Coturnix japonica: one gene and its partners. The protein of the gene in region 4 purifies or fractionates together with the protein of the main gene of each other region. This does not show direct contact. Links are inferred from orthologs where the notes say so. Each region holds a gene or a part of one and is shown on either strand. Other genes may lie near its edges.

What was found.
Region 1: the proteins of CCT7 (region 4) and DCAF7 purify together in Homo sapiens (affinity purification with mass spectrometry; 4 studies listed by BioGRID and IntAct, counting the BioPlex papers as one, with this or other methods). This does not show direct contact. The link is inferred for Coturnix japonica from reciprocal best matches to the Homo sapiens genes CCT7 and DCAF7.
Region 2: the proteins of CCT7 (region 4) and PDCL3 purify together in Homo sapiens (co-immunoprecipitation; 4 studies listed by BioGRID and IntAct, counting the BioPlex papers as one, with this or other methods). This does not show direct contact. The link is inferred for Coturnix japonica from reciprocal best matches to the Homo sapiens genes CCT7 and PDCL3.
Region 3: the proteins of CCT7 (region 4) and TUBD1 purify together in Homo sapiens (co-immunoprecipitation; 3 studies listed by BioGRID and IntAct, counting the BioPlex papers as one, with this or other methods). This does not show direct contact. The link is inferred for Coturnix japonica from reciprocal best matches to the Homo sapiens genes CCT7 and TUBD1.

The regions. Positions count from the first base shown.
Region 1 is NC_029542.1:2,156,710-2,164,528, reverse strand, and holds the start of DCAF7 (DDB1- and CUL4-associated factor 7), read right to left. Parts: upstream 5,106-7,819; 5' UTR 4,865-5,105; coding exon 4,727-4,864; intron 1-4,726. UniProt on the Homo sapiens protein: Involved in craniofacial development. Acts upstream of the EDN1 pathway and is required for formation of the upper jaw equivalent, the palatoquadrate. The activity required for EDN1 pathway function differs between the first and second arches.
Region 2 is NC_029516.1:120,000,986-120,008,861, reverse strand, and holds PDCL3 (phosducin-like protein 3), read right to left. Parts: upstream 5,252-7,876; 5' UTR 5,151-5,251; coding exon 5,145-5,150; intron 4,330-5,144; coding exon 4,200-4,329; intron 3,579-4,199; coding exon 3,488-3,578; intron 3,171-3,487; coding exon 3,027-3,170; intron 2,595-3,026; coding exon 2,386-2,594; intron 1,774-2,385; coding exon 1,631-1,773; 3' UTR 1,364-1,630; downstream 1-1,363. Other genes in the region: histone H2A, sperm-like, read left to right, coding at 7,784-7,876. UniProt on the Homo sapiens protein: Acts as a chaperone for the angiogenic VEGF receptor KDR/VEGFR2, increasing its abundance by inhibiting its ubiquitination and degradation.
Region 3 is NC_029534.1:6,130,181-6,137,996, forward strand, and holds the start of TUBD1 (tubulin delta chain), read right to left. Parts: upstream 4,665-7,816; 5' UTR 4,504-4,664; exon of another isoform or gene 4,443-4,503; intron 4,389-4,442; exon of another isoform or gene 4,373-4,388; intron 4,280-4,372; 5' UTR 4,257-4,279; coding exon 4,085-4,256; intron 3,986-4,084; exon of another isoform or gene 3,808-3,985; intron 3,476-3,807; coding exon 3,328-3,475; intron 2,933-3,327; coding exon 2,716-2,932; intron 2,100-2,715; coding exon 1,868-2,099; intron 1,105-1,867; coding exon 940-1,104; intron 277-939; coding exon 136-276; intron 1-135. Other genes in the region: RPS6KB1 (ribosomal protein S6 kinase beta-1), read left to right, coding at 5,037-5,108, 7,110-7,159. UniProt on the Homo sapiens protein: Acts as a positive regulator of hedgehog signaling and regulates ciliary function.
Region 4 is NC_029519.1:81,260,732-81,267,855, forward strand, and holds the end of CCT7 (T-complex protein 1 subunit eta), read right to left. Parts: intron 6,872-7,124; coding exon 6,707-6,871; intron 6,302-6,706; coding exon 6,113-6,301; intron 5,564-6,112; coding exon 5,466-5,563; intron 5,004-5,465; coding exon 4,871-5,003; intron 3,769-4,870; coding exon 3,562-3,768; intron 2,582-3,561; coding exon 2,357-2,581; 3' UTR 1,993-2,356; downstream 1-1,992. UniProt on the Homo sapiens protein: Component of the chaperonin-containing T-complex (TRiC), a molecular chaperone complex that assists the folding of actin, tubulin and other proteins upon ATP hydrolysis.

The DNA of each region.
Region 1 (7,819 bases), on a different chromosome or scaffold from region 4:
AAACCATATTTAAAAGAAAGGATTTTTATCCAAATAATAATATATAATTACAACATTAAGATGAGAGCATTTCAGAGGGATGCCTTTTGTAACCTCAAGGACAATTAGAAAAGACCATCATGTCAGTGGAATGAGAAATATTTAAAGCTCTGCCTACAAGCCTCAGCTGGGAATCAAAGCGAAGTACACATAATCACCACAGCACTTTACTTTGAAGAGATGATCTTAAGTGAAGCAAAATCCAATCTCCTAAAGGATTAAAGACCACCCTTGTCTTTTCCATACTGCAAAGCCTTGTTTAAATGATAAACTGTTCTAGCATTATTCCAACTCATCTTTAACTGAACTGATGCTGACAGTGATGCTTCAGAGTCAGTCAAGCCATGGCTTGCATTACAACCACCAATTAAAGCTCATAGCATTGTGTTCTTAGCTATCAACCCTACACACTGAAACAGGTCACCATCAGCTATCTACCAAGCTGTCTTCAATACCACATTAAAGAATGCATTCAGTCACAACTGCACAAAACTAAAACACAGATTAACTTCATTCCAAAGTCAGAAAGTAAATGGAATTCAAACTTGAAAAATGGAGGAGAAGAAAAAAATGTTTACACAATTATTCAAGTGTTTTGTGAGAGAAGGACAAAGGAAGGAGGCCTGCTGCCAGGTTTTATGGAGCTGATCTCCAAATTAGGTGTTTGTTTTCTTAGCAGAGTAATGAGATAACACCCAGTTGTGAAAGTGAAGCAAGACAGAGCAGACAAGGAACTATCTCCACATTGCTTGGTTATGACAACACCTGAAGTCATGCTTCAAGTCCCAGACATGATGTTATTAGAAAAATATTGACATGTTAGAGAGTGTTCAGAGAACAATACAGACTGGGAGGACACGTTTACCCCAGCACTGACTGCAAGACCTAAACAGGATGAAAGCCCCACTGTGTTCAATGCTGTCCAAACACAAACTGAAAGAGGACAACCCACTACAATTAGTTTGTAAGCTTTCCATGCAGTGGCTTCCTCCTGGAGGCTGTGGCTTAACAGACTCATTCTAAGGTGTTTATCTGCACAATTCCTACATATTCTCCAATTAGCAATATGGTTAATAACCTACGTTTAAACTAGTCTGGAACTCTACTGTATCTACCAACAAGACAAGTCCTTCAGCAGACCTTCCATTGTAACATCAGCAGTTCCAAGTCCATTTAGAGATGCTCCTTACAAATGCCAGCCTTTCCCTTGTCAAACTGAAGATGCATCTCTCTGACGCTGTAATGACCCCTAGAAAACATACAGGCTGTTTTTAGAAGCTTAGCTGGATGTCTGCCTTGCACTCTTTTCATTACAGCTACTCCTTATTATGCTTCACGCAATCGTATGAACCCGCCAAGTGTCTCCCAGCCTTCTGAAGCTTTCTAACTCCTTTAGGGATCAGAAATCCTAAGCAGATTTTACAAAGGAAGCAAATTGTCCTTGGTCACAGAAAACCTTGTGGCAAGGACAGAATCAGAAGACAAGAGACTTCTAATCATTTCTTTTCCTTTGCTTATGCTGTTTTCAGCTCAACATAATATTACACAGCCATAACCAAAGCAAATCTAAAGCAGCAGAGAACTCACTTCTGTTGCTGGGAATTGAAGTCTAGGCCAGCTAAGACTGAGGAAAGGAACTGTTAGTCATGATACAATCTAAACCTTCTACATCTACCTGTAACTCATTCTGGTGGGAAAATGAGGGTGTTCAATCTCCATTGGATTTGCAATTATGCTGTGACAGTAGCCAGAAATGCCACATAATTATCTGTTCCTCCTACACACCGAGATCGGTTGCAACTGGAGGTGGATTTTCCTATCACATCTGGAACCTTATTAACATGAGGTTGATTTGCAACACTGCACATAAGTAAAAAAGTGCCTTTAATCAGCAGTTTGAAAAACTCTCTTCCCCATGATCCAAAAGATGACATTCCCTAATTATTTTAGGTGAGACAGCTCTCGCCATACCATTTAATCTGCAACATACCATTTTTGCTTGCAAGTTCTAAACCTCACAGGTTTAGAGCAACAACAGCTCCCTGGTCAAACTGCCCCACTGGATGCTCTCTGATTGAAGGCATGATGCAGAAGGTGACAGCAGGGGAAGCATGCAGCCATAACCCAGCAGCCTGCTCTGAACAGGGTGCAGCACTGCTTCCTTCTGAAGCAGATTTGAGTTCTGCCTTACAGACAGATCCTGAAATCAACCTCTCCTTGTTTTCCACAGATCATTACTGATCCACAAAGCCTGCAAAGCAGCATTAACAGCAGAACGTACAAACACCTCAGCTCCCTGCTATTACGCCTGTGATCCATGAGGCATTCTGAAGCCTGACAGCAGTTTGCTGATTCAAGAAGCTCAGGAAAGCCTAGCCTGAATAATTTTAGTCCTTTCCCCTGGAGCAAAGTCATCTCTCTTTCTGTACCAGTGATTTGATGAGCACAGGTGTAGGAGCTGAAACAAAACTCCTTTGGGGTTCAAAGAGATCTCAGCAATCAGCTTTCTTGTATGTCATACAGCTTGTTAGTGGGAGAGCTGACAGAGGTTCCAAGAGTCTGGGAGCTGGGGGCAGCAATAAGTCATGGCTTGGCAGCTGACTGAGCTGAATCCACCCAAAACAGAGGTGTAAACAGCCATCTTATGTATGAAACCTTAAGTATTTCGAGCTCTGGTAATTACTACAGGAACAGAAAAATAACCAGGAGCTTCTGCTGCAGCAATTAGAAAAGATTTAATGCACTAAGAACCATTTTAAAAATGCACATGGGAGGGTAATGAGGAAGAGATACAGCCACTTATTTGGTTAGATGTTAAGAAACCTAGAATTGCTACTCTGAACTGGTCTTCCAGGGGGAAGGAAAGAAGCCAGTTCCTTAGAACAAAACACTGCAAGGACAGAACAGAAATGACATTTGGAGCCATCAAAAGCCTTCAAAACACAAAGAGAGAGTTAAAGTGGAAGAGAGCTTCCATTATCACTTCCATTTTCCTTCCAGTTGGTGCTACTGTGTGTATTTTGATGTCAGAAGTTGCCAGTATAAAATAGAAGTAAAGAACATATCTTCACTTTTGTAGCAGCAGCATCCAGGCTGGAATCCCCATTCTCATACAATTACTTTCTTGCTTTATACCCTAATTAAATCTCATACCATTTGGTGCTTATATGGACCTGAAGTCAACACAACAAGCCATTCCCGAAGCACAGAGACCAAAAGAAGCTCAGGGGGTTATTCACAAACAGCTGGAGTTAATGCAGTACCGCACAATTCCTGTTTGCAGCAACTAGGAGTGTAAAGTTTTCAGTCTGGGAGTTGTTGCTGTTGTTTTCTTAAATAGAAAGAGTTGCTGACTCAACTGCCTTTATATACTTGAAGCCTGAAATGAAAAGCAGACCTGATCACATTGTAATTGGGAGCAACCCCCAGGGAATGATCCAAACAGAAGGATGTAAACGCAACAGAAACATACCCCTAATTAACAAGTTCCACCACTCCTAAACAAAAAAACACGTTTGGAAGGTTGTTACTTTTGCTTCTCAGAGCGCAACCTACAGAAAACATGATGGAGTTAGTCTTTAAACAAATGAAAAGTCAGCAAGCTCAGACCTGCCTGGAAAGCAGCATTCCCAGAACCACATAATGCTCACCAGCAATTCACAGAATCACAGAATGATCCGGGTTGGAAGGAACCTCAAGGATCATGTAGTTCCAACCCCCCTGCCTAGCAGGGCCACCATACGTACACCTTTACTAGATCAGGTTGCCCATGGCCCCGTCCAACCTGGTCTTGAACACCTCCAAGGACGGGGCATCCACAACCTCCCTGGGCAGCCTGTTCCAGGGCCGAACCACTCTCCTAGTAAAGAACTTCCCCCTAACATCCAACCTAAATCTTCCTTCTTTTAACTTAAAACCATTTCCCCGTGTCCTGCTATTGTCAGCCCTTTCAAAGAGTTTACTCCTCTTCTGGGAGTAAGTTCCCTTCCAGGTCATTGGCTCACATAGGAGCATCCCATCCAGGGCTGCAGCAAGGGCACTCGTTTAGCTGCTGTAAGAGATGCCAGTCTTGCCTTACCATCACCTCACCTCAAAGCCCAATCCAAAACACCAACTTCTGAAACAATTTTCTCCATTAAGCAGCCTGACAAAGCTTCAAAGCACACATGATATAAATGCACAGAACTACTTTGGCAGCACTGTTAGCTGCACACAGACTCCAGGATGCTCTACAGCTATGTCTGTTTCCTCATCTCTCTCTGCCATTCGTGTTCATCGCATGAGATGAGTGTATTAAAGGTTGCTGAGGAAGGATGGCTCAGGTGTCTGAAGGGCGTAAGCCTCCCTGCTTAGATATAGAAGGAAAGACTAAAGACACAACCTCGTCATCAGAGATAAGCAAAGGAGCCGGTGAGAGCAGTTTACAAACACAGCATCATGACAAGAGCACACTATTACTAACAGAGTCCCATACAGCTTATGTATGTACAAACTCGAGCCCAGGCCGTGAGCTTCCTGTCACGCTGAATAACAACCTCACACATTCAAGTCAAAGCTCCTGCCTGAGGAGCAGCAGCACCACCAACCCCAACCCTCGGCCTCCAATACAGAGCCCGTAGCTCAGCTCCCTGCAGCCCCCCAACCCCCTGTTACGGAGGGGCACATCCCCGGCTCGCCCCCTGCCCACCTTGTTGTTATACTCCTCTACGAAGCTGCCCAACGCCAGACGGAACCTCTTGTCCGGCCTCACGCTCCAGTTCATGGCGTACACGGTCCATGGCGCCTCGTATTTGTAGATCTCCTTCCTTTTGCCGTGCAGCGACATGGCTCGGCCGAGGGGGCCCCGCTGGGCCTGAGGGGAGCAAGCAGCGGGCTCAGCTGAGATGGGGCCTGGACTGAGCTTGGAGCGCTGGGCCCAGCCGAGGGGAAGGCCAAGGAGCGGGGACCGGAGAGAGACCGGGGCAGGCCGCGCCCCCAGGCCCGGCTCCAGAGCCCGGACACCGCGAGAGAAGCGCGAAGGCCGTTCCCGATTCGGCCCTCACACAACGGGAGCGGAAGCCACGCGATTAGCCCCGCCCTCTGCGTGCTGGTTGGCTGTGTTGATTGTCAATTAACACTTCTATTGGTTCTATTGGGTGCTACTCCTGTCTGTTTGGCCGAATTCAGGCTTGTATTGGTTACTTTGACCATCAATAACAAAGAGAGCCCGCCTCCTTGCCTGTATAACCTACCGTTGAGTTTGAACACGCCTGAGAAGGGAGGCCGCGCTCCTTCTCGACACCTGATTGGCTCCCGGGGGTCGCAGTGGCGGGAGGCGGGTTCTTGCGCCCCATATTGAAATCCGATTGGATGGAAGCGGTGCTAATCAACCTGAACCCGAGGCAGTTAAGGGCAGCCAGCCGGGCTTTCAGTTGTGTCGCGAGTTCGAGTCCCGTCTTCTCCGAGTAGCGGGTGGAGATGAGCTTATCTACAATTACATGACGTTTAATTATGGGGTTTCGTTTCTAATTGTACGCAGCGGCGTTGAGTAGTACCCAGAGCTGTGCACTGCTTCTCACGAAACGCCTGGGCATGCTGAAGCCCGGTGCCTGGCTCTAGCCCTTCCCATTAAGACCCATGGAGACCCCAGACCCAGCTCGGATTATGGGCGCTCCCCCAGCTGCTCATAAAGCCCCGAGGCCTCCTGACAATCTGGGCTGGGGCATGAAAGGGGGATGAGATGTCCCAGCTGCTGCAAGGAGCTGAAACCTGAGCCGGCTTGGATATAAATAGTAGCTTTGTGGGATGGGGGCTGCGGGATGGGGGGGGTTTCCATCCAAAGATCAGCTGGGGAGAGGCACATCTATGCCCTGCCTGGGGGGGATGGGGATGGGGATGGGGATGAGGATGAGGATTCTCAGTGACTTTCAGGTCTCTTTACAGGTCAGCATCTTGCTCTGTGCTTCCCGTGGTGATCCTCCTTACAAACACAGCTATAACTCACATCAGGTGCCAAAAACATCTTTATTAGCAAAGTGTACACTAAAACTCCAGAGAAAGAGATGCTCACAGTTTTACTACTCTCAAAGGGAGCTCAATATGTTACTTGAGCAGGCGGCCTAGGACGGTCACAGCATCTAACCGAATGGCAAGGCAGCAGTGCTAAGTGGGCTTCTCCTATGGGATGCTGCGGGATTCTGCCAGGAAAAGGGCTGAGGAGGAGGAAGCATCTATCAAACCTTTATCAAAAGAGAGAAGCTGGGAGAAAGGACTGGACTTGAAGTGACTAGGACTTTGCAGCTTTTCGGGATTGTGCTTTTGTGTTTTGTGCTTTATGTCCAGGTCGATGACCAGTCAGGTTCATATAGGGATTTGTGGGATGTGTGTTGGGGTTTGCAAGGTGCAGTTGGCCTTGCTGGAGAAGTCAGTGCCCTAGGACTCGTGCTGAAGCGTGCTGAAGTGGAAGGGGTTGTTGGCCCTTAGTGTCTCGGTGGCCATCAGGTAGGACAGGGAGAGCATCTGTCCTTGTCCTGGGCTTCCCACCTGCAGCTCTCCCCAGTACTGCACTGTGGAGCTCTCCTCCTCCTCCAGTGAATACTCTTTCATAGTGCCCACGGACTCTACTGGGCAAGGCCCAGTACCAACACAATGGTCCCTGCTCCAAAGAGCTGACAGCAAAATGGCCTTGCAGCTGGAAGCTGTGCAATTGCTCCCCTCTGGATGCTGTGGCTCACTGGGCTTGTGCTGTTCTCGAGAGGAAGCCTCGGCAAGGAAGAGGTGATGGGTGCTGTTTGGCCTAGCCAGCCTGTTGGTGGCCATAAGAAAGAACTGCTCTGGGTTCACTAGAATGTGCAAATTAAATCTACTCTATGGGAACCGCTGGAAAATGTTGATCTTGGAAACCAGCCACGCTATGCTTCCTTTCATGGTGGCAGAAGACAGTTACAAATTAGACCCCTGAGCCAATGGCATTGTCCACTGTCTTACCCCTGCAGTCAAAATCAACATCAACTGACCGAGCTCACAGTTGAGGTTCCTCTTGACTTGCTTTGCAGCCCCCATGTCTCTAACTTCCAGGAAGAACTGGGTCGGAGAGGTGTCTCTGAATGTCCTGGTGCTCGGAAGATGCCTCCAAGTGCTCAGGGAGGGAAGGGAAACGTGAGCCCCGCAAGAGTCCCTGGGTGTTTGGTGCCCTTTGGTGGGGAGGCTCTGGGTTCAGGAGAGGTGGGGAGTGATGCTCCTGCTCAGAATAGACCGTCATGGTTTCATCAGATGCCACAGTGAGGTGCAGCCCACTCGACAAGGAGTCCCTGGATTTCAAGTGGAACTTTTCTACCTCCGTGTAGCTTGGGCTCTGATAGGAAAAGAGGAACCACAGGTGGGTTATGACAAAAGCAAAACAAAGTAGGCAAGCACTCTTCTCACCCCATCGGTCCCCCACATGTTATTTTTTTGCTTGGAAAGCCTCAGAGCAGAGGAATCCATCCCTCTCCTTACTGACTGGGTAACCTGTGCCCACAAATCAGTGATGCACTGGGCAGAAGCATCTCCAGGCAGACCTCCTGCTTTGAGACCACTGGGATCTGCCTGGACCCAAAGGAACTTAGCTGTGCTTTACACACAAGGAGGCTGGAGAGGACCACTGGCCCTCAGCTGGAGGCAAAAGGAAGCCCAGAAGGTGCTAAGCCATGAGGAATGTCCTTACCTGCCCTGGGGCCATCTGCTGCTCATCCTCCAGAGGTGCACAGGGGGTGAGCGGCTCCAGGCTCCGTGGGACGATGCCATACATGGCCAGGTTGTG
Region 2 (7,876 bases), on a different chromosome or scaffold from region 4:
TGATAATAAATGCATGCCCACATCTGCGGTCTGAAATTAAGAGTTGGCAGTACATAGGCTGTCCTGTCCAGCACTGGTTATAGATATGTATTTAAAAACTGAATGTGCTGAGTAGAGATGAAACATTATCAGTATAGGAAGATGTGCATGGCAAACTCACAACCAGAGCAAGATATCTCACCGTAGGTCCTTGGATGAAAGTACCTGACAGGCACAGAGAGGATGTACTGAAAGCAAAGACTGAAGGCAGAACAGAATACTGCATTGATTCATGGACTGTAACAGGAGAAACCAGTGGTCCAGAGAACCACAAAAGCCTACCTGCAGTTATTGCCCTTCTCCTTCCTTAAAGAGGCTCAAGAGAGCTAGTAACAGAAGCAAAAATGCATCCAAAGCTCTAGCTACTTTTTAGATTATACTTTAAATTGAATGTGTTGAATCAGTGACACAAAATGAAGTTTCTGCCCTCCTTACTAGAAAGTTGATAAGCTTTAAAAATAAATTGAGTAGAGTATGGCAGCTGTGCCTGCGCTAAGACAGCTGAACTGCTAACAGCAGCCAATGTGGAGAGAGAAAGGCTGAGGATATGACATTCATTCCAAACCATCTCACAGAGGGTCTTATTTCAGACCAGCTCTTGCCTTACTTTTTGGATCAAACGCCCCTTGGTGGCTGCTCCTCCCAGTTAGCACCCTCCTAAAGAAGCCCAGCTGATATACTAGAGCTCATTTCAAGGTATGAAACAATACACACTTAAACAAGGGCAAGCAAAGAAAAGCCATGCAGACTTCTGCTAGAATCTGCTTAAATGACTCCTAGAGAAGTAATTTCTTGGCTTTCCTTTGGAGAATAAAAGCGATCCTTTTCCTAGATTGTACAGGCAAGCAGCAAAAAAGGCTCAGGTCTGGTAGCATTTTGGATAGCCCAGTGTCAAGAAGTGTGTCAGTACATACAACATGTAACAACCAACATTTATCAGCTGGCATCCTGCTGCGTTTTGCTCACTTCCACAGTGTTGTTTTAGTTGTTTTACCAAAGAAACAAAAGTCAAAAAGATGTGACACTCAAATCCTCATGCAGATCTCAAGATTTCATCAGTGTCTACTGTTCCAATCCAAAATAAGCACACAGCTCAGTGTCAGAAGAGCTGTAATTCAGGAAAGGAAGAGATAGAGCTGAACTAAGACTTCAGTCATTACTTCTTTACCTTGAAGAGCTCTACACACCGCCCACACTCTCCACCCAGCATCTACACAGGGCAGGCTAACAGAAGGCCAAATTCAGTGCCATGCTGTAACTCACCATGTTTAAGATCAATTATTTATACTAACACACTCAAACCATTACACTTTAGGCCAGATCATATTTTATGCTTTAAAATAAAGTGTCAGCAGTTTATTAATAAAATAACAACAACAGACTTTAGTATCTACCAATACCTGTATTTTAAAACTTGGAGTAAGATTTACTCAGGCTCTGTAATACAAAAAGTCTTTTACAATCTCAAGTGAAGGTGCCTTGAAATGCTCCCCTTCTGGGGTTCAGGAAGATCTTGATGAGCACCTCCAGTCCTTTGGGCAGGAACACTGTCTGTAAGTGTATTGTATCAACCCCGATGCTGATGTAGGAGTTAGTCATCCTCTGAGTCACTCTCTCCCCTGGTTGGGACGCATGCCCTTATGGAGGACATGAGCTGGTCTTGGATCTGTTTCCTGGGGTTCTCCTCAAGGTCTGTCTTGATGGCACCTGACTCCGAGATCTTCCACTCCAGTTCTGCACAGAGCAAAGTAAGAGTGCCATGAATATGGGGAAGCAAACTAGGCTGATTTCCATCTCTGACTCCTTTTGATATATGCTTATTAATTTACCTCGACACACATTTCCTCACCTTTCTGATTTACTCTCAAAAGAGAAAAGGACATCAGATCTTGACAATACTCCTCAGTTCCTCCCAACTTGTTTCTCCAGATGGTTTCTCTTATCACCCTACCACGAACATCATCAAAACCAGGGCCATACTCTCTCCCTCTTTGTTGACAAGCCAACAAGTATCCCTTTACCTCTAATTAAGTCCAGGAATTGCATCAGTTCCACTTACTTTCCAACAGGTAGGGCCTTTTCCATTGCACAACTGTCTCCAAGCACAACTTTATGATACTATTCCCTGCCAACCTGCAAACCACAGCTTTCTAAGTACCTTTACATTGGCCTACACTTGCTGCTTTTAAAATATCACTTCAATCATGTGTTGTTGAGCCAAAAGGTGGGGAGGGAAGATAACGATTATCATCATGCAGCTCTTAGTGATCTCCATTCTCCTTATTCTCACATAACTTCTTTAGTTTCCCACAAAGATATTCACAGCAGATGGATGCAGACACTCACCATCCCTCGTCAAGTTCATGCCACCGAACACCAAAGGCCCAATGAACTGAGCTCTGATGTCTCCTTCAAGGTAGACAAATATCGTAGGCAGATTCTTGTCGGGGTAGTTGGGTATGCAGGTGGTAGAGATAGCTTTGATGAATTTCACATCTCTGAACTTTTTTGCAAGTCCACTTAAATGTTGGTTTATTAAGGCACAGAGTGGAATTCTGCCAAGAACAGACAGAGACACACATAAGAACTAAAAAAGACTCATCTGATAGCAATCTTCTCCAGAAGACAAACCAGTCAGAAATAACAGTTCAGTGGGAAGATCAATGTACCAGAAACAACCTCTGACTACTTCTGTTGTTCAATACTCCAGCATCCAAATAAACTTAGTACCACTAAGTAAACTTAGTGTGGTTTATCTTTGGTTTGTTTGTTCATTTTAATTGCTTTAATTGCTCGTTTTTAATTAAGATACCAGCAGCATCACTTCATGGTAACATCCTTTTAACAGCAAAGCTCAACTCTCTTGAAGCCAACAGAAAGCAAATTACTAGTAACTCCCTTAACTCCACATTGAGTTCCTCAGTTTCCACGTTAACTACACGTTTGTCAGGAGCCAAGAAAGGTTTAGAGGTTAAATAAGATCTTACCCCTGTTTGTAGAGGTGCAGGACTACCCATATGCCTTTCCCAGCTTTTGTAACCTCTTGAACATAATCCTTTCCAGAAATCTCCAAAACTTCTCCAAATTTATTCTTCATTTGAGCCGCTTTCATTTCTGCTAATCTTTGCTGTCTGGAACAACAAAGAATGGGAAAGAGATCTTAAAAATAGATACATTAAAAGTATCTGGCTGAAACTTAGAGGCAGGTTACAAACACGTTGAAACTCCAAAGTGATAAAAGCAAGTTGAAGTAGGCTACAGACATTGTTATATTTGCACCACATATTCAATCTATCAATATGCAGCAAATACAGTTGTGCTCCATGAAAGGAATTTGATGTTTCCTCTGCAGATGCTATGCTATGAAGCCGGACGGTAGAAATAACAAGAGATACACAAGCAAAATAAGAAAGATTTCAATAAAGCAAGTTCCACACGATGCTCTAACCTGTACATTTCAATAGCTCTCTCATCTTCCTCATTAAATTCATCCTCATTTTCTTCTAGCTCCTCCAGAGTCATGTCCTCATATGTTTTCACTAGAAAAGAAGCAGTATCATATCAGCAAGTATCTCATTCTGGGAACAAAACTCATCAGCCTTTCAGTCGAACAGAATTTAGGTATGAGACATGTTTTTTTTTCCCCTCCAACATTACACTACCTTTTCAGATAACATTATGTACTCTATACATATAGATGTAAAGACAACGGTGATTCTAAGCCAAAGGCTGGCTACACTGATACGTAAATACCACAGCTAGCTTTCAAGCTCTGTGACTTCAGCACAAACATACAATACAGCAGGGATGGCTGAATAATGGAGTACACATACAATGTTTGTGAGGTGTTTTATCTGTACATTCATATGACATACTCCTCTGAGACAGTTCTTGTTTTAATTGTATATGTTTCAAAATCATGGAGTTGTCATCAAGAAGAGAGTCTTCCTGCTCTGGAAGAGGCCATATATTCTGGAACGTATTTGTCTGATACTGTTAACAGACACATCGCCCTGCAGAAGAATTAGCTCAGGTATCCAGTCAGGGGGGTTGGAACTTCATGATACTTGAGGTCCCTTCCAACCCAGGTCATTCTGTGACTTTGTGATCCCTCACAGGTTAAGAAGAGGACACGTTGCTTCACAGGCACATGGGCTCACCCAGAGACTTCTGAAGGATTTCAAACTGCTCTTCTTCCTTTGCACGCTCCTGCTCTTCTCGGTTTTCCTTCGGAGGAAGGATCCCTTTCTTACGCAGGATGTCATTCCACTCAGTGTCTTTCTCTGGGTCCTACAGTAAAACAAGAAATGGATGACTGGTATTTAGGAGAGCTTTGGTACGTTCAAGCAAGACATAGCACAGTGATGAAGTGTAACCATCTGGATGCGGACAACATCATAAAGTCACAGCACACATTCTCCTGACACCAAGGCTTCCCAAGACACACTACTTGTGCACTAAGGGCTCTTCAACACTCACAGAATCACAGAATTGTAGGGGTTGGAAGGGACCTCTAGAGATCTCCAACCCCCTGCAAAGCAGCTCCTACACCACTCCACACGATGAGGCGTCCAGGCGGGTCTGAATATCTCCAGAGAAGGAGACCCACCACCTCCCTGGCAGCCTGTTTCCAGGCTCACCCTCACTGTAAAGAAGTTCTTCCGCACATTCATGCGGAACTTCCTATGCTGTACTTTCATCCCATTACCCCTAGTCCTGTCCCCACGCACTACTGAAAAGAGACCAGCCTCACCACTATGGCTCCCACACCTCAGGTATTTATAAACCTGGATCAAATCCCCTCTCAGCCTTCTTTTCTCAAGGCTAAAATAGATGACTCCTGTCATCTATCAACACGCAGAAGTGCTTAAACCACGCACCCACCTGCTTACTTCAACAGCAAAACGCATACTGCCCTTTAAGAGACAAGAGCCCAACCCGGCGCCCCACAACGCCATGCACGGCCGCAGCCCAGCTCGGGGAGGAGCATCGGAAAGACCCGGGGCCGGCAGCCTATACGGCTCCGCACATCGCTCCACCAGGCTCCCCCGCGTTATGAGGCTGGGTCAAGGCCGGGCAAGGCCGCCACGACCCCCGGCTCTCACCTGCATCTTGCCTGCGGGACAGCGGCCTGCGGAGCGGCGGGGCTGGGCAGGGCCGGTCCCGGCGTGCGCGGCGCGGCGAGGCGGGGCTGGCGGACGGGGCGGGGCGAGGGCGGTGTCGCCACTGCCGCTTCCCGGAGCCTAATAAGCGCCTAATAAGGCAGGGCCTGCCGTCAGTTCGGTATAGGCCCGATTGGGGGCTCGGTTCCTTCTGCTGTGGTGATGCTGAGCCTGTGACAGACAGCTACAGACCGTGGGTTTCTGAGGGATTCTCGTCTGCCTGTTGCAAGCGAGCTGTGTGAAAATCCAGACAGTCCTTTCCAAATGAGAGAGAAAGGAGTGAAATCCAGCAGTTCAGGGCTGTGATCACTGACCTGAGGTGCCCGACCACCCTCTGGTGATACCTAGATAGTCACTTTGAGTCACATTGAGATTGATAGCCACAGCTGCAGTTGACAGTGATCATTAAAATGAATATTTGGATGCATGGAATGTGTCCTATAGCCCTGGAGGATTGGAACACTCAATGTTTATGTGCACCATATGTCCATCATTGTGGAAGCTGGGGTTGTCTAAGTGGTGAATATCTTCTCTGGAGATATTCAAGACCCGCCTGGACGCCTACCTGTGCAATGTGGTGTAGGGAACCTGCTTTGGCAGGGGGGTTGGACTCGATGATCTCTAGAGGTCCCTTCTGACCCCTACAATTCTGTGATTCTGTGAATCTACTGCAGGCCCTCTCTATAAATCACAGTATTTTAGTTCTGACCCACAGTTAACACCCGGCAAGCAGAATAGAAGGCTTAATTGTTTCCATAGCTTTCAGTGTACAAATGTTTTGTTGGGGCCTGAGCTTTAAGAGGGCCCTTGCTGGTTAAATATTCATCTTCTGAAGCTGAAAATACCATTCACATGCATGGTTCTTGCACATTGCTCTTGGAACCTGTTTTGGGCACCTAGAAACAACTACAAAAAGGGCATAAGCAGAAAGAGTACACTCATTATTTACAAGGTGAATGAAAAGAGTTCCTGCCCTGACCCCAAGCACCAGAAGCCCATATTTTCAGATTAAGCTGTGAGTTACCAGAGAAGCTCACACCTAGAAGCATCCCCTTCACATCACTTCAGGTGCTGAAGGGCCTCCTCTGCCTAAGGCACCCACAGTACTCTGCTTCCTCCCCACACACAACTTGATTAAAACTCACATTTCCTCTATATACTTATCTAAAGCCTTAGCAGGAAAGTGAGGATTAATTTTTACACGTGGTACATGAACAGAAACATTCCATCCCCAACAACTAAGAGCTGATATTATCACAAAGACTGAGCTACAGGTGTAGTTTAGCCCTTGAAGACAACTTGGGCTTCCACGCCCCCTCCAAGAAGGATTTACCTCAGGGTGTCTGTATTTCTTCCTTTTCCCTCCAATCAAGTGTTTGGAGGAAGATGAGCCACATGTGGGAATGACTCATTAATTGTCCAGGTGAGCCCACTAATGGGGAGAAAATCTTGCTCATAAAAGGCACTGCTCCAGGCTAAGGGAAATGGGTTCCTGAGGATTGTTTGTCTTTGACTGTGGCCTATAGCAAAGTGAAGATTAGGCTACAACAGCTCTTTGGAAGGTAACAGGATATCTTTTTTTCTTCTCTGATGCTTAGGGAAAAAGTTGGGGTTACTTTGTAGAGAAACTGTGAGTGTAGCATAGTATATCTGCAGTGTAAGCTATCAGAAAATGTTTGGTGGGGGTAATAAGCTTTGGCTTGGCTTAGGCTTTGTTATGGGGTGGGTTTTTTGTTTTGCTTCTTCCCTTTTAAACTTTATTCTGTTGTCTTGTAAATACTTAAGTTTTTCTTTTTAAAAGCTACACAAACTATATTAACCTAATAATAGATGTTCTTGTATATTATAAACAGTTGTGCTAGAAGTAGTATTTTAAGTCTGAGTAAATAAGAGAATTAAGTATGTTTTCTACTTTAACTGTGGATATTCTTTAGCTGGACTGAATTTCTTGATTAGAGTTCTAGTAAACTGACAGTAATATCTATGTTTATCATGTATGTTGTCAAAGTTAATTCATTCTCTCTGATGTAGAGTAGCCTCCATAGACTTATGGCAGTTACAGAATCTATTGTGGGATGAGTTTAGAGACTACAGTGGGCTGTGTGAGTGCTTGAGGTGTTGTATGTAATACAAATTCAGAAAATCTAATGTAATAACAGAAGTTTGAATGCAGAGTCCTGGAAAAAAGGGGTAGCCTTGGTCTTTAGCTAGTATTGAGGTAAGTTATTGTTTAAGACAAACCTTGTGTGAGGTCCTGCCTCCATCTTGCCTCAATCTCCAGTACACTCTAAATACTGAGAAACTTTTTTTTGAGCTCTTTGCATCTGCTTCAGTAAGTTTTACTGATTGCTTTTCAAACCACTCTGGCTCATTCAAAAACTGGCTGTTAAGTAGCAGTTATCCTAGATCTATTCTTAATGAACTTCAGTAGGTTGCTCTTCCTACAAGCTTTCTGCTTGGTATAGAAGAGTGGAAAGTGTAACTATCCTTGCTGTTATCTCCTCTTGTTATCAGTTACCTGTATCCAAAGCACCTGGGTAGTGTGAAAACCTCCAATTCTTTGTCTCTCTGTGCTATTTAGAATGTCTGGACGGGGGAAGAAACTTGCAGTGGCTGGCAAGCCTGAAGTTGCACCAAAGAAAGCAAAGTCAGTCCTGGCTGGTCTGCAGTTTCCT
Region 3 (7,816 bases), on a different chromosome or scaffold from region 4:
CACATTAAAATCCTTCTAGAGGTAATACTGACTTTATTAGTCAAGTATATGACCTTGTTTTATTTTCACTTTCATGCAAAGAAAACAGTTGAGATGAGAAACAAATGACTGAGTTGTTGTGCTCTTCCTTCTCACCTAAGTCTACACTGTGCGTATCTTTTCCTCGCAGGATGACCAGGTTGGCAATGGAAGTATTGAAATGCAGCAGCTTGTTTATGGAATGACTGGAGGAGATGGAGGAGCCTGGACATGGTGGCCGTACTTGCCAATCGATACCTACAAGATTTTTGCAAACAAGATATAAAACAAAGTTAATGTTTCATGAAATATGGATTCAGACTAACTCTATGTCCCAAGCTGAGTTCACACTAGGGTTTGTAGTTTCTGCATGTTGGCTAAGCAGTAATTACACAATTCTAAGAGGAAAATCAAGCTTGGCCAGCAGTGTTTTCCTGGTAGTCACTAATCTTAGCAGAGAAACTGATACTTTTTTTTCTATAGTTAGCAATCTGCCAGCCCATTCTTTGCATACGTGGAAGCTTTGCTGAATTCTCAATGTAAATGATATCGGAAAGCTGAGCATATGATTTTTATTAGTAGGTGTACCAAGAAAAAGCATAGCAAAACAAATGATTCAAAAGATGTTCCAAATTGAATCATGTAAATTAAGTGCACGACCAAAAACTGTCGTTTTGCATATTTCAATAGTTATAATTAACTGAGATGTCTGGGAGCAAAAACATGAGCAAGCCAAGAGTGGCAGCTGAGTGAATAGTGCAGAAGCAGCTGGCTATGTGGAGGCAAATTCCTGCTGTCTGAGGGCAGCAGCTTGCTTCTGAACAGAGCGACTGAAGTCAGTGAGCACCACAAAACAGTAAGCTTTATTTCAGCTGTAAAGAGGGATACTTAAAGAGTGATGGATGAATGAGTGCTTCTTACCTTCCTCCATTTTAGCGTTAGCAATGAGCATTTGCCTCAGATGTTTGAGGAGCCCAGGCCAACTGAATGTGCTATATGCGAGGGAGTTTTCAGGCATCTGAGGTATGTTACGGAGACCCAACATCTTGAATTCAGGGTGTGGAACTAACGTCTCCATTAAGTCTCCTGAAAAATAAATAGAAATGACAGATGCTCATGTTTGATAGAAATATTGCATAGGCTACTTAAAAAAGGAGAAGAGCATGAGGAATTTTAGAGAGATCTAGTAACTTAAGGTAAGAAAGCAGAATATGTACAGTTTAACAAATACACAGACGCATCTGACAAAATGCAAAGATTTACAACCTGCCACTGAGTTTCATACAAGCAAGTTAACAGCTCTTATTTTCCAATTTAGACTTGTCCTCCTTTGAATCTGACTCAAATCTTAAAGACCTTCTATACTTCTGAAGAGATGGAAAGGAAAATGAGAGCTTCATTTTACAAGCAGATTCTTGGCAAGCCAGCTGCTTGCTGCTACCAAGTTGCATGCTAGTGTATCTTCTGAGCTAAACACAAAACTAGCATTTTGTTTGTACAAACTTCTAATGTTAAATGTTAAAACTCAGTCTAAAATTACTGCCTGGCAGAAATTTCCTCTGAAAGGTAAGTAAGTACAAGGGGGGTAGTCATTTGAAAAAGGAGGAACATGAGTCTTTTGGTAAAGAATGAAACCAGAAGCTGGGTGTCTATTTTCGACTCTGTTATAAAATTAGGGTTGAATTACTAACTTAGTCTTTTGCTTTCCTATCTTTTTTTACCATCTTAAGCCTTGGGTTATATCCAGATACTTGAGTAAAAGAGACTGAAGAACTTAAATTCCCAAAAATGAAATGATTACAGAAAGATGTGTGAGAAAGCCTTAAGTATCTATAGTACAGTTAGATACCTAAGGGGTTTCTGCTGTAGTGTAAGCCAGATTCTGCTGTGTGAGCAGGCTGGAAAACACTCCCCAGTTGATGTGCAATGACTTGATTTACATCCCTGAAGGAGATGTGTTTAATATGCATCAGCTGAGCACAGATCTTGTGGATGACATCATTTTCATGAACAAGAAGAGCATCTGATGACTGATACAGATGTGACAGAGTCAAAACAGAGTTGTAGTTTTGAACAATGACCTGGAAAAAGGAAAAAGAAAACCAAACAAATGAGAGTCAAACCACTTGATCTCTTTCTACATTTTAATATATTACTATGGCTACTGTCATTTACTCAGTTGTGCTTAAGGAAGTGATTCATTTTCTTTGCCAAAGGGCAGAATAAGGTCAGGAGCTGGCACAGTTTTTTCATGGAAATGGAGCAAGACCTATGAAAATCATGTTACTCATCTCAGTTCAGAATGAAACCTGTCTGGGAACTGATTGCCATGCTCTGATACTGTCATAACAGGAGATTTCTAGATAGCTAGTAGAGCTTCTCATGAAACTGCATTATATCATAGTGCTTTTATAAGTAGATTTTAAATGTTTTCTTACAAGCTTGAGATATCCATGATTTTTAGATGAATTTGAACATTTTGATTAAAAATGAGACAACACATGCCAAATATGAGGCAAACAAATTGCTTTGCATCATGTTGAATGTTCAAAGAATAAAGTGTTTCTCTTTTCTAGTTTATTTCAGTTGCAGATATTTTGTTTTACTCATAAAAAGCAAACCGTTTATTTAAGTTTCCTGTCCTCTGTGATCACAATTGTAATCTTGCAAAATATCTCTGGGAAAAATGACATTCACCTCACCAGTGCCATAGGGCCAGATAACGTGGTTTAGTATAAACGAGGTTGGAAAAGCATCTCTTAAACACTGAGTCACAAATGCTCCTAGGCCAGAACCTGTACCACCAGCCATGCTCATTATTGTGAAAAATCCACTGAGTCGATCACATTTCTCTACTTCTTTTTGTACCAGATTCATGATTACTTCTTTGTTTCTAGGCCCATGAACAGAGTAACTGTAGAATAAAGAAAAAAAAATTGCAGGTGATGTAGAGGCAGTAAGGTCAGCCTATTTATAAAGGCTACTTTTATTTGTATTATGGATATAACTTGGCATTGTGTCACTCATTCTACTTGTAGTAAATAATCCTCAGCTGTGGCATTTATTTTGCAAAACAGCTGTTTATAACCTATTGTTAAACATATTCTAAACCATTACATTATCCCTGTAAATACCAATTTCAGTTTACAAAAAGCAGCGTAGTAATGTTGCTGCTGTATGTACTGTTTCTCTACCTTAAGTTGTTAAACAATGTTTCCCATACAGCTGCAACAGTATCACTCCTAGAGAGCACAGACAGTTCATATCCCCTGCACTTCTGCTAGTGAAGCTGGAAATGATGATTCATACCCATTTGCCCAGTTGTTCCCGGACCCTTGTTTCTGACAGAAGTGTGACTGATCATCGTATTTCCAGTGGCCAGACCGGGCAGCTATTGATAAAGTTTGGCTGATTACTTTAGGTTCCATGTCAACAAGCACAGCCCGGGCAACAGGTACTGTATAAGGAAGAGAAATGAAACTAAGTGCTGATATAACAACTAGTTTATGTGAGATAGACAGACTTGCATCATGGCCCAACTTGTATTCCATCCACCCACATAAGCTCAACTAGAACAGAAAACAGGATGTGGCAATGTCCTGGATTTCTAGAAAACCACGGATAATACTAAAGATAGATCCAAATAACAGGGACATGGATATTTTGGGAAAGAAATGTCTCAATTTGTTTGATAACACTAGATTCAAACAGTCTAGGCCCTACTCAGCGGTGCTATCTGCCTACAGCAGGAAAAGCAGATGTTTGGAAGAGCAGATCATTTATGCATACACGTCCTGTCTCCAGCTCTGTTACTGGCAGATGTGCTCTGGGGCCTCAGTTACTCTACCAGCTGTGACTTTGCTTCTGTAGTTGTAAGCAGTGTCAGGAAGGCAGAAGGTTGGGACAGTTCTTCCAGACTGAAGGTAGAACTTGGATGGTGTCAGTACCAGGCAGGAAAACAGACCCTCTGTGGGACACAGAACACCTAAAGGCTGTATCCTCTGTGGGACACAGAACACCTAAAGGCTGTATCCTCTGTGGGACACAGAGCACCTAAAGGCTGTACCTCCAGACTCTGCCTCGCTGAAAAACCGTTCTGTACAGGCATGGTGGTAGGCTTCGTTCTCCTTCTTGGAACACAATCCATGCGTGCCACGGACATCACCACAGATGGTGTTAAACACCTCCTGACCTATTTGGTTACCACACTGCCCAAGCTGGACTGTGACTATTGACATTCTAATTCACCTCGTGTTTGGCCCTAAACAAAAGAAAAGCACGATGGGGGGTTAAAAAACCGATGTTACAAAGGTTCTCTCCCCGCACAGGCCGCTCCCGCCCCCCTGGCGCTGACAGGGCCCCTCACAGCGCCGCGATCTCCCGCCCGCTCCCCACAGCCGCCATATTGTCGGGCCGCCCCTCACGTCTCTCGGCCGCCCTTCCCCTCCCAGCTCCTTCCTCCTCGCCGTTCCCTCCCTCCCCGACCTCTCATCAGGTCGATGCCGGCTCAGGGGGGTGGGTTGGGCGGGTTCCACACACTATGGCCCCTCCTCAAGGCTGACGAGCCCCCTGCCCGCCGCGCCTCACTGGGGGCAGCCCGCAGTGCGCATGCTCAGAGGGAACTCGGCGCAGTTCGGGCACAAGCGTCGGGCTGCGGCGCTTCACAGCGCGCACTACGCATGCGTTACGCACGCGGCTTCGCTGCGCAATCTACGCAAACTCCGTACCGGGAGCGAGGGAGGTGGGCTCATATTGCGCATGCTCAGCTTCAGCTCTACGCCCGCCGCCCGGCCGAGGCCCTCGCCGCGCATGCTCAGTGCGGCACCTGCCGCCGCAGGATGGGCTTGTGCGCACGCGCGGCGCCCGCAGCCGGGGCGGGGGCGCATGCGCAGTGAGGCCGGGCGGCCGTGATGGCGGCCGTGGCGGAGTTGGGGGGTGCGGGCCCATGAGGCGGCCCAGGCCTCGGGCACTCAGCGCAGCGAGGAAGGGGCGGCCACGCCTCGGCTCACACCCGCGCCATGGCGGGCGTGTTCGACATCGATCTGGACCAGCCCGAGGACGCGGGTTCGGATGAGGAGCTGGAGGAGGGGGTGAGAGAGGAGAGACCGACCGGAGCGGGGAGCGGGCGGGTGGGGGAGGCCGCAGGGAGGAGCGGAGACAGGGGGAGGAATGAGGGGGCGGCGGGGCTGGACGGGGCGGCTGTAGGCGGCTGTAGGCGGCCAGAGCGGCTGAGGCGAAGAGAGGCGGAGGCCCAGGCCCGGGCCCGCGCAGGTGAGGCCGCGCCCCGCCCCGGCTGCGGCCCGTCGAGCTCCGGCCCGTCCCTGCGGTGCTTCCATCGGTACCTCCGCTGCACCGCTCGCTAATAGCGGCCTTGTTCCGGCGGAGAGTTTTACCCTGAAATGTTCGCGGTGGGTTTTGTAGCACGAGCGTGGCAGCGGGGTTTGGTGTCACATGTGGGGACGTCAGTGCGGCTGTGCTCTCGTCTCTCTGGAGCTGCGTGCAGGCATCGCTCTGGCGCCAAAATCAAAAGCAAAGCTTTGAAATGCTGTCCGGGGTCTGAGCGTGTCCCCACATGGGTCACTCCGTCATCTGTATTTATTCTTCTATCATACTCATTTAGATGCTTTTAAGGCCCCTTCGGGTATCCTCTTGCGTGGTCGCTGTTAGTATCTAGTGTTATTTATGTTAGCTCTAGTGCTACCGTTGCTTTTATATGTTGTTGTATATATTAAATGTTTGCTAGTGCTTAAGCTGCTGCATTCCTGCTATGCTATTTGAATACCAGTCATTGGGATTAGCAGACACCCCAAAGTACAGCTGCAATATCACACTGCATGTGAGCTGCAGAGTCTGCTGGCTGAAGGCAGGGCAGTGCTCAGGCTGTGGGAGAAATGCTGTCTGCTATCCCAATAATCAATACAGGACCTGGCTTACAAACGTCGGTTGCAACACAGCACCTGCATTGCCAAGAACAGGTTCTAAGAGTAGCACAAAAATCCTTGTGGCCCAGCTTCTGTGCACAGTGGCAACCTAATGCAGTACTTAGGTGCCTCTGGGGAGATTAGGGTGGACTTGAAATTAAAACAGAACTGGGGAGAGGGGAACATGTGAGCGTGAGGAAAGTGTGAGTAAAAGGTGTTTTTTTGTAGTGATTGTGCGTATCTTAGAAGGATCTGAAGGACACTGAAATTCATCTGGGAACGCGATGGGTGTTTATTCTGTTTGTTGAGTTGGTGGCTGTTTTGAATTTGTTCCTTGTTGTCTCATGGTTGGGTCAAGGGCACATTTAGCTGGTTCTGTTGTGAAACAGATGGCAGGGGGCTGGGTTTCTCTAATAAACACTAGCAAGGGGATGTGAGCAAGCAAACCTCTGTCCTGGAATCAGACTCGAACTTCATTCAGGATTCTGGCTGTGGATTCCAGGCTGTAGATTTGAAGCTGTTCATCACTGACTCGCAGTTGCTGTTTTATGTATATATTTTTAAAACTGAAAATGTAACCTGTCACAGTCTGAAGTTTGTTAGAAGCTTGCCCATTAAATTCTATTTGTATTCCTTCCAGCTGTCTGCTTGCTTTGCACTTCTGCCATGTAGAGCCACATTTAGAGCGAGGTATTATCTTGCATTAGGGGTCCAGCTGAAAATTGTTTGAAGAAAATATGCCTTCAAAATTGAACTGCATTCTTTAATGGCGTCTGGTCCTGCTGTTGAAGTGCTTGAGCCTTTTTAGAAATATTTGTGCATTAATCTGCCTGAATGATTGTTGATCAGAAAATACATACAGGACCAGAGTGTGTTATTACTACTGGGCTATGATTACCACCAGACCTCCTGCATCAGAATTTAAGCTATGTGGAAGCGTTGCAACTCTTGGACTGTATTTTTTAGGCTTGTTGTCTTCTGCTCATAATTAATGATTCTTGATATTTAAACTTGTTTAGTTATATATACATAAACATATATGTGTGTGCACATGTAACAGAAACTATATGTGTAAACATATTCACACATGTAAAGAAGCTGTAAAAGACATGTATTTTTAACTATGCTTTCTTATGTTGCATTTAATCTTCCTTCTACTCCTGTCCCCAGGGTCAATTAAGTGAGAGCATGGACCACGGAGGAGTTGGCCAATATGACCTGTAAGTTGCTACTAAGAAAATGTTCTGTACCATTCATGCCAACTACGTATAGCCTCTACTTTGGTTACATTGTTAAGTTGAATAGGAAATTTTGTCATTCTTGTTCAGTTTGAGTTGCTTTAGTTCTTTTGCTATTTCTTCACATTAAAGTTTGTGACTGTATGTAAAAATAATAATAAAACAAATTCTGGCAAAACCTGCTGTTGTCTTTAATCCTTGTTTCTCCTAACATAGCTGTTGTGTTGTATTTGAATAATACTTGCAGTATGAGTGTAGTGCCCTCTTTGCAGAACATTCTGTGTTCTGTCGGGCTTATAGAGGCTCTGGCTGCATATTTGCACAGCAGTCTGAAGTAGATGAGAATTCAGTTCTGATTTGATTGCACAAGACAGCTACCTTTAGCCATGCTTTATGTATAGATACCCAGCTTGTTTTCAGTGTCCCACACGTAACGAGAAAGCAGCAATAGTTCAAACAGTTCAGTTACCTTTTCTGTAGCAGGGTCAGGTGTTGGCCTCACCCTGTCTTTTATAGAAGTGTAGTATGATTTAGAAACATCCTTAAGTTGTGGATCAGTCTTCTGTGGCACGTTCAGAGTTGTGACTTCTTTTGTTTTAGCTTTTTCTGCACAGTATTTGTTACAGAAGTTATATTGTG
Region 4 (7,124 bases):
CAGCTTTAGCTTGGAGTCCTGGCAGCTTCCCAGAGTTTGGAGGAGCTTGCTTTCTTTTCTTGCCCAAAGTTCTTCCATAGCCAACATTAGCAGCATTCTCCCTCTCCTGAACTTTGGGGCTGGACAGGGGTCTCAAGAGGAACAACACCAGCAAAGTTTGGGGGGCAAATCCATCCCAAATCCATGTTTTTCTGCCTCCCTCATGTGTTGGGTTTTGTGTGCACCCATCAAAGAACTGGCAGCACGGAGCCATAGCTGGGTTGGTTCCATCCAAGGATTTCAACGATCAAGCAAACAAGGCAGGTAGCAAAGGAAAAACATCCCATACGTTGACAGGGCTCACAGGTCGCAAGGCACAGGAATTACGTGGCCAAAAAGGTCTGAATTAGGTTTAAACAAACCAAAAATAGCCACGAGAAATGTTGATGAAGGCTCCTCTCAATGCAGTTCTTTCAGCTCTAAGAGGAGCCAAGATGAAGTTGGCAACGTGGGAGCTTGTGTGTGATCATTTTGGGTTGAAAACCTGCAGGTTCGGGTGGAGTGAAGCATTTGGGAGCCGGTGCCAAATGACAAAATGCTTTAAAAAGAACTAAAGAACGGGGAGCAGGGTGATGTTAGCAGCTGGAAATGGCTTGTTGCAAACCAAAGCGCAGCAGGATGGTAGCATGAAGAGAACAGTGGCAACGAATGACTGCCACAAGGCAGCAAAGAGATGAGAGAACTGCCCAGAAGCAGGAAAATGGGGTTTTCTGATCCAGCCCCAGGCTGGGGCCGGGGACAGGCATGTGCAATGGTAGGAGTGGGTGGGATTGCTCTGGGGAGTGAGGCAGCAACGCACATTGCTTTGAGATAATCAGAGGACACACTCCCAGATAGGTATATCCCCAGAATGGCAATCGTTTCCCTCAAGCATTTCTCCTAGTGGCAACTCAGCCCTGGAGAGCCGTGTCCAAGGCGCTCTGCACAGCGTGTCCCCTCCTGGAAGGTAGCGAGTTGGCCTCTTAAGTTATTTTTTTAACTCTATATAATAAATCTAGGTCTATTTTAGTCTTTCGCAGCGATGTGCCAGTGTCTGGAGAACCAAACGTCCCTATCCCCCATCCCATGGTCACCCTGACCCCAATGCTGGAGGAGGGGACACGAGGGTGACCTTGGGGGCAGCAGGAGGTGACCCCCAAGGAGCTGCTGCAGCAGACCGTGGTTTTAGCACTTTGGTTGGTACTATCACCTGTAGACGCACTTTGATGTTGTTGCTTTGAAACTTTGCCGAGTGTAAACAATGTGTATTTAAAGAATTACAGGAAAAAAAAAAAAGAAGAAAAAAAGAAGGGTGTAAAGAGCTATTTTATCGTTCGGCGTTGAATAAAGGCACTCATGAATGAGGAGGGGGGGTCTTGGTTCACATGGGTGGCACAGTGAGCCACAGATCAGTGCACACCCTGAGCGCTCAGCAACAAACCAGGAAGGCCAAGTCCTCCTCCCAGCTCCCTTTCTGTTGAGGGCACCATCTCTGTTACAGAGCTCATGAAGTGAACTGAAATAGCACTGACCAGCATCAAATAGATGTAAATGGGAAGGTTGTGGGAGGTGGGGATGGTCTCTTCTCCTAATAGGTGGTGGGGTTAAGTTACACAAGGGGACATTCAGGTTGGAATTAGGCACATTTCTTCTTGGAACAAGCACTGGATGCTCAGGGAGTGGGGAAGGGGGTCACTGTCCATAGAGGTTTTCCAGAATCACAAGCATGTGGCACTTGGGGACATGGTCAGAGAGCACAGGTGGATGGACTGGGAATCTCAAGAGGTTTTTTCCAACCTGAATGATTCAGTGACTCTATGAACAAACGTAGAGATGAGCTGTGTTAGAAACACTGTTATGCACTGGGAGTCAGTCCTGCTTCCCAACACCCTGAGTTTTAATTACAGGGTAGAAAACAGTTTGCAAGCTACCCAAACAAGCTCCCACCTCAGAAAAGAACCCAAACCGGCCACCAAAACTCTGCCATAGTTTTATTGAGTTTGAACCTGGGTTCAAAACCCCCAGCAGAAAGACGTATAAATACCAACCAAGCCCAGGCACACCCACCAGTGTTGGAGAGGGCTCTGATCAGCACGAGGTGAGCCTCAGGGCATCAGTGCTGTGCAGGAAGGGCTGGACCACGACACCTCACAGGAGGCTGCCACTGCCAACGCCAAGATTTGACTCTAATTAAACAAGGCCAGAGGTTACCTGCAAGCCCTCAAAATGACCATCTGGTAAACGGCCTCTTAATTAAAACTAGGAACCAACTCTTTCCCAATCTGCACGTTGGAAGCGAGCGCCAAGCCCTGTCAGGACAGTGCCACAGAGCAGAGTTTCAGTGGTTGTGGGGTCTGCCCCGACCCCGACCCCGGCCACCAGGTGGGGCATCTACTGTGGATCGAGGGTTCTTGATTGTTTCATCTACTGACACAATAAGACAGGCGGCCTCGGAGGCAGCCGTCAGCGCGTTGATGCGCACAATGGCCGGCTCCCATACACAGGCCTCAAAGTTATCGGCGATGTCCTCGTTGTTCACATCCACACCGTACCACATGCCTCCCTGTGAGAGAGGAGGGAAGAGGGTCTGGTTACATGGCATAACAGGAGCTGAAGGCAGTGCACTGGGAAGTAAAAGACATGCAAACATTCAAGGAGAGGCAGGGAGAAGAGCTTGAGGTATTCTCCCTGAGTTTTCTTCCTTTATAATAGGGGATGAAGCCTCAGTTGTTAGAAAACAGTGCTTAAAATGGGAAGTTTGCTCCACTTCACCAAGAAGTTGTAGAAGACCTCATGACTGTCTTGCAGCTCACCTGAATCATAGTAATGACCTGGTTTCAACCCCCTGCTGTGGGCAGGGTCACCAACCAGCAGACCAGGCTGCCCAGAGCCACATCCAGCCTGGCCTTGAATGCCTGCAGGGATGGGGCATCCACAGCCTCCTTGGGCAACCTGTTCCAGTGCGTCACCACCCTCTGGGTGGAAAACTTCCTTCTAATGTCCAACCTAAACTCTCCCATCTCAGTTTAAAACCATTCCCCTTGTCCTGTCACTCATAAACAGCCATCCCCCCTCCTGTTGATACACTCCCTTCAAGTACTGGAAGGCCACAATAAGGTCTCCCCAAAGCCCTCTCTTCTCCGACCTAAACAAACTCAGTTCCCTCAACGTTTCTTCATAGAGAAGACCTTCATGAAGAGACAACGATCTCAAGCAATCAGGACCTTCAGTCTGCAGCTCCTCTAGAAAACACATCACAGAGGTAACTTTTATACTAATTACCTCAATGTTTAATATAGAAGCCTCCCTCCTGACAAACGATGCATTTTTAAATAGCAAATCAGAACTCCCAGCTCTAAAAAAGTCATCCGACAGCTGTGATCAAAGGGAAAACATATCACTTCCTTTTATAGAAACCTGCCTCAAGCCTACACTGTATCTGAAAACAAACCACGGCATTTAATGAAGGAGGACAGGAGCCCACCACAAACCCAACCAAAGGACACCAGCTCTGCAGGCTCTCCCTGCCAGCCGTGCACCTACCTGTGCATGCTTGGCTCGCAGCTTGTTCAGTATGTTGGTGGCATCAAAGCCAGCGTTGTCACAGAGCTGGCGGGGAATGATCTCAAGGGCTTTAGCATAAGCACCTATCAGCAGCTGCTGCTTGCCTGGAATGGTCCTGGAATAGTCACGGAGGTATTTGGAGAGCTCCATCTCTATTGCACCGCCACCAGCGACAACAGAGTCGTTCTGGAAGGAAAGAGAACAGGCTGTGCTTACTCTTTGTTGCACAAAAGGGGGAAGAGCAGGAAAACCCCTTTTCCCAAAGGCCTACAGCATGCTGGGGTAATGCACATACATCAGGCCCAGGGGAATCTATACTGCCCAGGCCACCACCACCCCCCTGGGAGCACCTCAGGCAGCCTCTGCCAGCAGCTCCTTCCTGCCACCTGCAAGCCAGGGGGATGGTGTGCAGGGCTGTGCTAGCAAACCTCAGCTACCCTTGTGCAGGACAAGCTCCCCCCCGTTGTGAAACATTCAGAACAGACGAGATTTGCAGCAGCACTCAGCAGCCAAGTTCTGCTAACTATTTTTTTCTCCCTCCCTATCTGCTTCAGTAGAAAGGATCAGGATGTTCTTTCTGAAAGCAAAGCAGCTCCAAAAAATCTTGACATGCTTCTTCCCATCCCCTCAGGGCACTCAGGCTTAAGGGGGAAAAAAAAACCCATCCCCACGCATTACGCACAACCCAGAAATACCCACATGCAGAGAACAGCCATCATGCAGGACCAGCAACTCTGCAAGTACAGTACAGTCACATGGGCCTCAGGCTTCCCTCTTGGTGTCACCTGCCCACCTCCACCTGCCAACACCAGCCCTTCCCAGAAGTCACCAACAGAGGCAACATGCAGCATGAACAGGCACACATGAGACTGAGAAGCTAACAGGCACATTAGATCAGCCCTGCTATTCCCACCCAGCACTCCCAAAAGATCCCAACCCCCTTCTTAGTGAAGGTGTTTATAGAACACACCACAACCCAGCAAGCACAGTTAAGTCACAGCACTTGTAACAGAGGAGACAAAACCAGGCATGCCTGAAAAGCAGCTGGCAATGCAGCTGTGAGAATTCTGCCGTAGCCAAGGAATAGCACTTGAGTTAATCAACTAGACACTGCTTGTCTGCATGCTCCACTCTGCAGGCTGAGAGCATTGGGTTTCTCTCAGAGAGACCTCAGCCAAACGTTGAGGTGTGAAGGCACTGCTGGAAATAGCTGCAGCTGTGCCGGGTGTGATCAACAGCCTCAGTGTCTGCTCAACCCCAGCAGGGAATTGCTTCTGCTGGCCCTTACCTTGATAGCTCTCCTGACTATCATGATGGCATCATGCAGGGACCGTTCTGTCTCTTCCATGAACTGCTCTGCACCTCCACGCAGGATTATCGTGCAAGTCTTTGCCTTTGGGCAGCCCGTGAAGAAGTTATACCTGTCAATGCGTGACACAAGAAAGGGTAAGGAGACTGAAAAGCAGTGCTGCTCCTCAACAGGCTCAGCACCACTGGGACACCACACGGGGACAGAGAAATTATTCCCAACCCAAATGCATGGCTGCAGCTGTCCCACCCCACAGTGACCCCATAAGATCCAAAGCTGAGCAAGTCCATATACAAGACCCCAAAAAGGTGTTGCTTTGGAGTTACGAATGAAAATACCACTAAGCCTTCTACAGGGTTCTTGAGGAATAAAGAAACATAAATGCATCTAAAAGGGGTAAGACCTAAATGAGAGCTCATTCCCCATGCTCATTAAAGGAATTAATCATGCAACCTTTGTTTTCACACCATCACCCAGAGAGATGCTCAAAGCTGCTCACGCTCATACCCCAACTTTCCAAACCAGTATCACCCATGCTCCCACAGGGCTGTGTGTTCCCAGCTGGCACATTTACCTGTCTCCTCCGATCTGAGTCTCCTCAAAGAGCTCACACCGGCCCAGTACATCATCTGACAGGGCATTCACACTGGTCTGAATGGAACCACCACAGGCCTGCAGGGGAAGAAGATAAAGCGTGGCATTACCAGTGCTGACAAATGAGACAAACCTGCCCAGCAGGCTCCCACTTTCTAGTTTCCTCCCATCATATATCTAAGCAGGCTACCAGGAATAGAAATAACCCTCGACAGCAAAAGATGATGATGTTACTAAAAGCTGAGCCACAGGCTCCAGAGTTCAGTAGCTACACAAAGGTGGCTTAAGGAAAACAGGCAAGGAGCAGGGAAAATAAACTTCTACCAACACACAACATACAGACCCTTATACAATTCAGCAGCAGAGGAAAAAAGGCAGCACAGTAGCAATCAGCCTGCAGTTATTTCTTCCACCAAGGAATAGTTTTGTTACTATGTTGCAGTTCTACATCATCATCATTTGGGCAAAAAATACATTAAAAAAAATGAGTGTTATTTTCCTTTTTACATCCTTGTAAGGAACAGTGTGTTCAGCAACTCGTGGCTGTTTTGGTTTGGGAGAGGCCTGACCAGCCTGACAACATTCAAGCTAAATCCAAAGTCTTTATGCCAAAACAAAGCAGCTCACCATCATAGTTCGCTTGAGATCTTCCTCTGGGACACGGCCAGCACAAAACATGTCCCTGTCTGCAAAGTACTGGGTGGCCACATCACCGATGGGCAGCTTGGACAGGACGACTTTGGCTCCAGACTTATGGATTTTGTCTAGTTTGTCATACAGGATGTTCCATTCAGCATCCACGATGGCCTGGTAATCCTAGCAGGCATGAGAAAAACAGGCAATACACATTAATAGGATTTGTAATGGGACTGCAAATGCCACCCCACAGCACCAGCCAAGGGAGAGCTCTGCTAAAGCAAAGGCAGCAGTAATGCTGCTCCACGCAGCCATCCACAGCAGCCAACTGCTTTCTCAAGGAAATTTTAGGTCATTCTATGACAAAGAACTACATCTGTTCAAGTGCTTCCAGCAGCAGAACCAAGGATATAAAGGGGCTGGATGACTTGAGTAAAAGGTAGCAATATTCATACTATTCCCCCAGCATAACACACAAGATAACCTCAGGAGGGAAGATGTGCAGATGGCAATCACAGAGTGCCCAGCTCCTTGACAGCCCAGGAGACAAACAGGAGGGGGACAGGCTCCCATTCCAGCTCTTACCTCCACTGTGTTTACTCGGACTTCAGCGTTGTCCTTTTCAGCTTTGAGCTCCAGCTCCACATTCAGCAAAGCAATCTTGGGAGACTGATACTTCTTGGGCTGCATTTCAAACCCAGCGTAAGAGAATGTCTTCTTAAAGGCAACTCCGGCCACCAGCTGGGAATCCTTGAAGAGAAGGGCTATTTGTCAGGCTCAACATCCCAGGGTTTTCTCAGCAGACTTAATAACTCCCAAAGGAAACCTCCTGCTTGAGAACCCTCCTTTACAAAGCTCCCACCAACAGCTGTCTCCTTTGACTAACCCACTTTTGAAGCAAATAAGCAGCAAATATTTTCTTCTCCCTGTTCACAAAACCAGCTTCTATCATCTCCTTTCTATCCCTCAAGACACCACAGAGAAAGATGCTATTCACAATCTC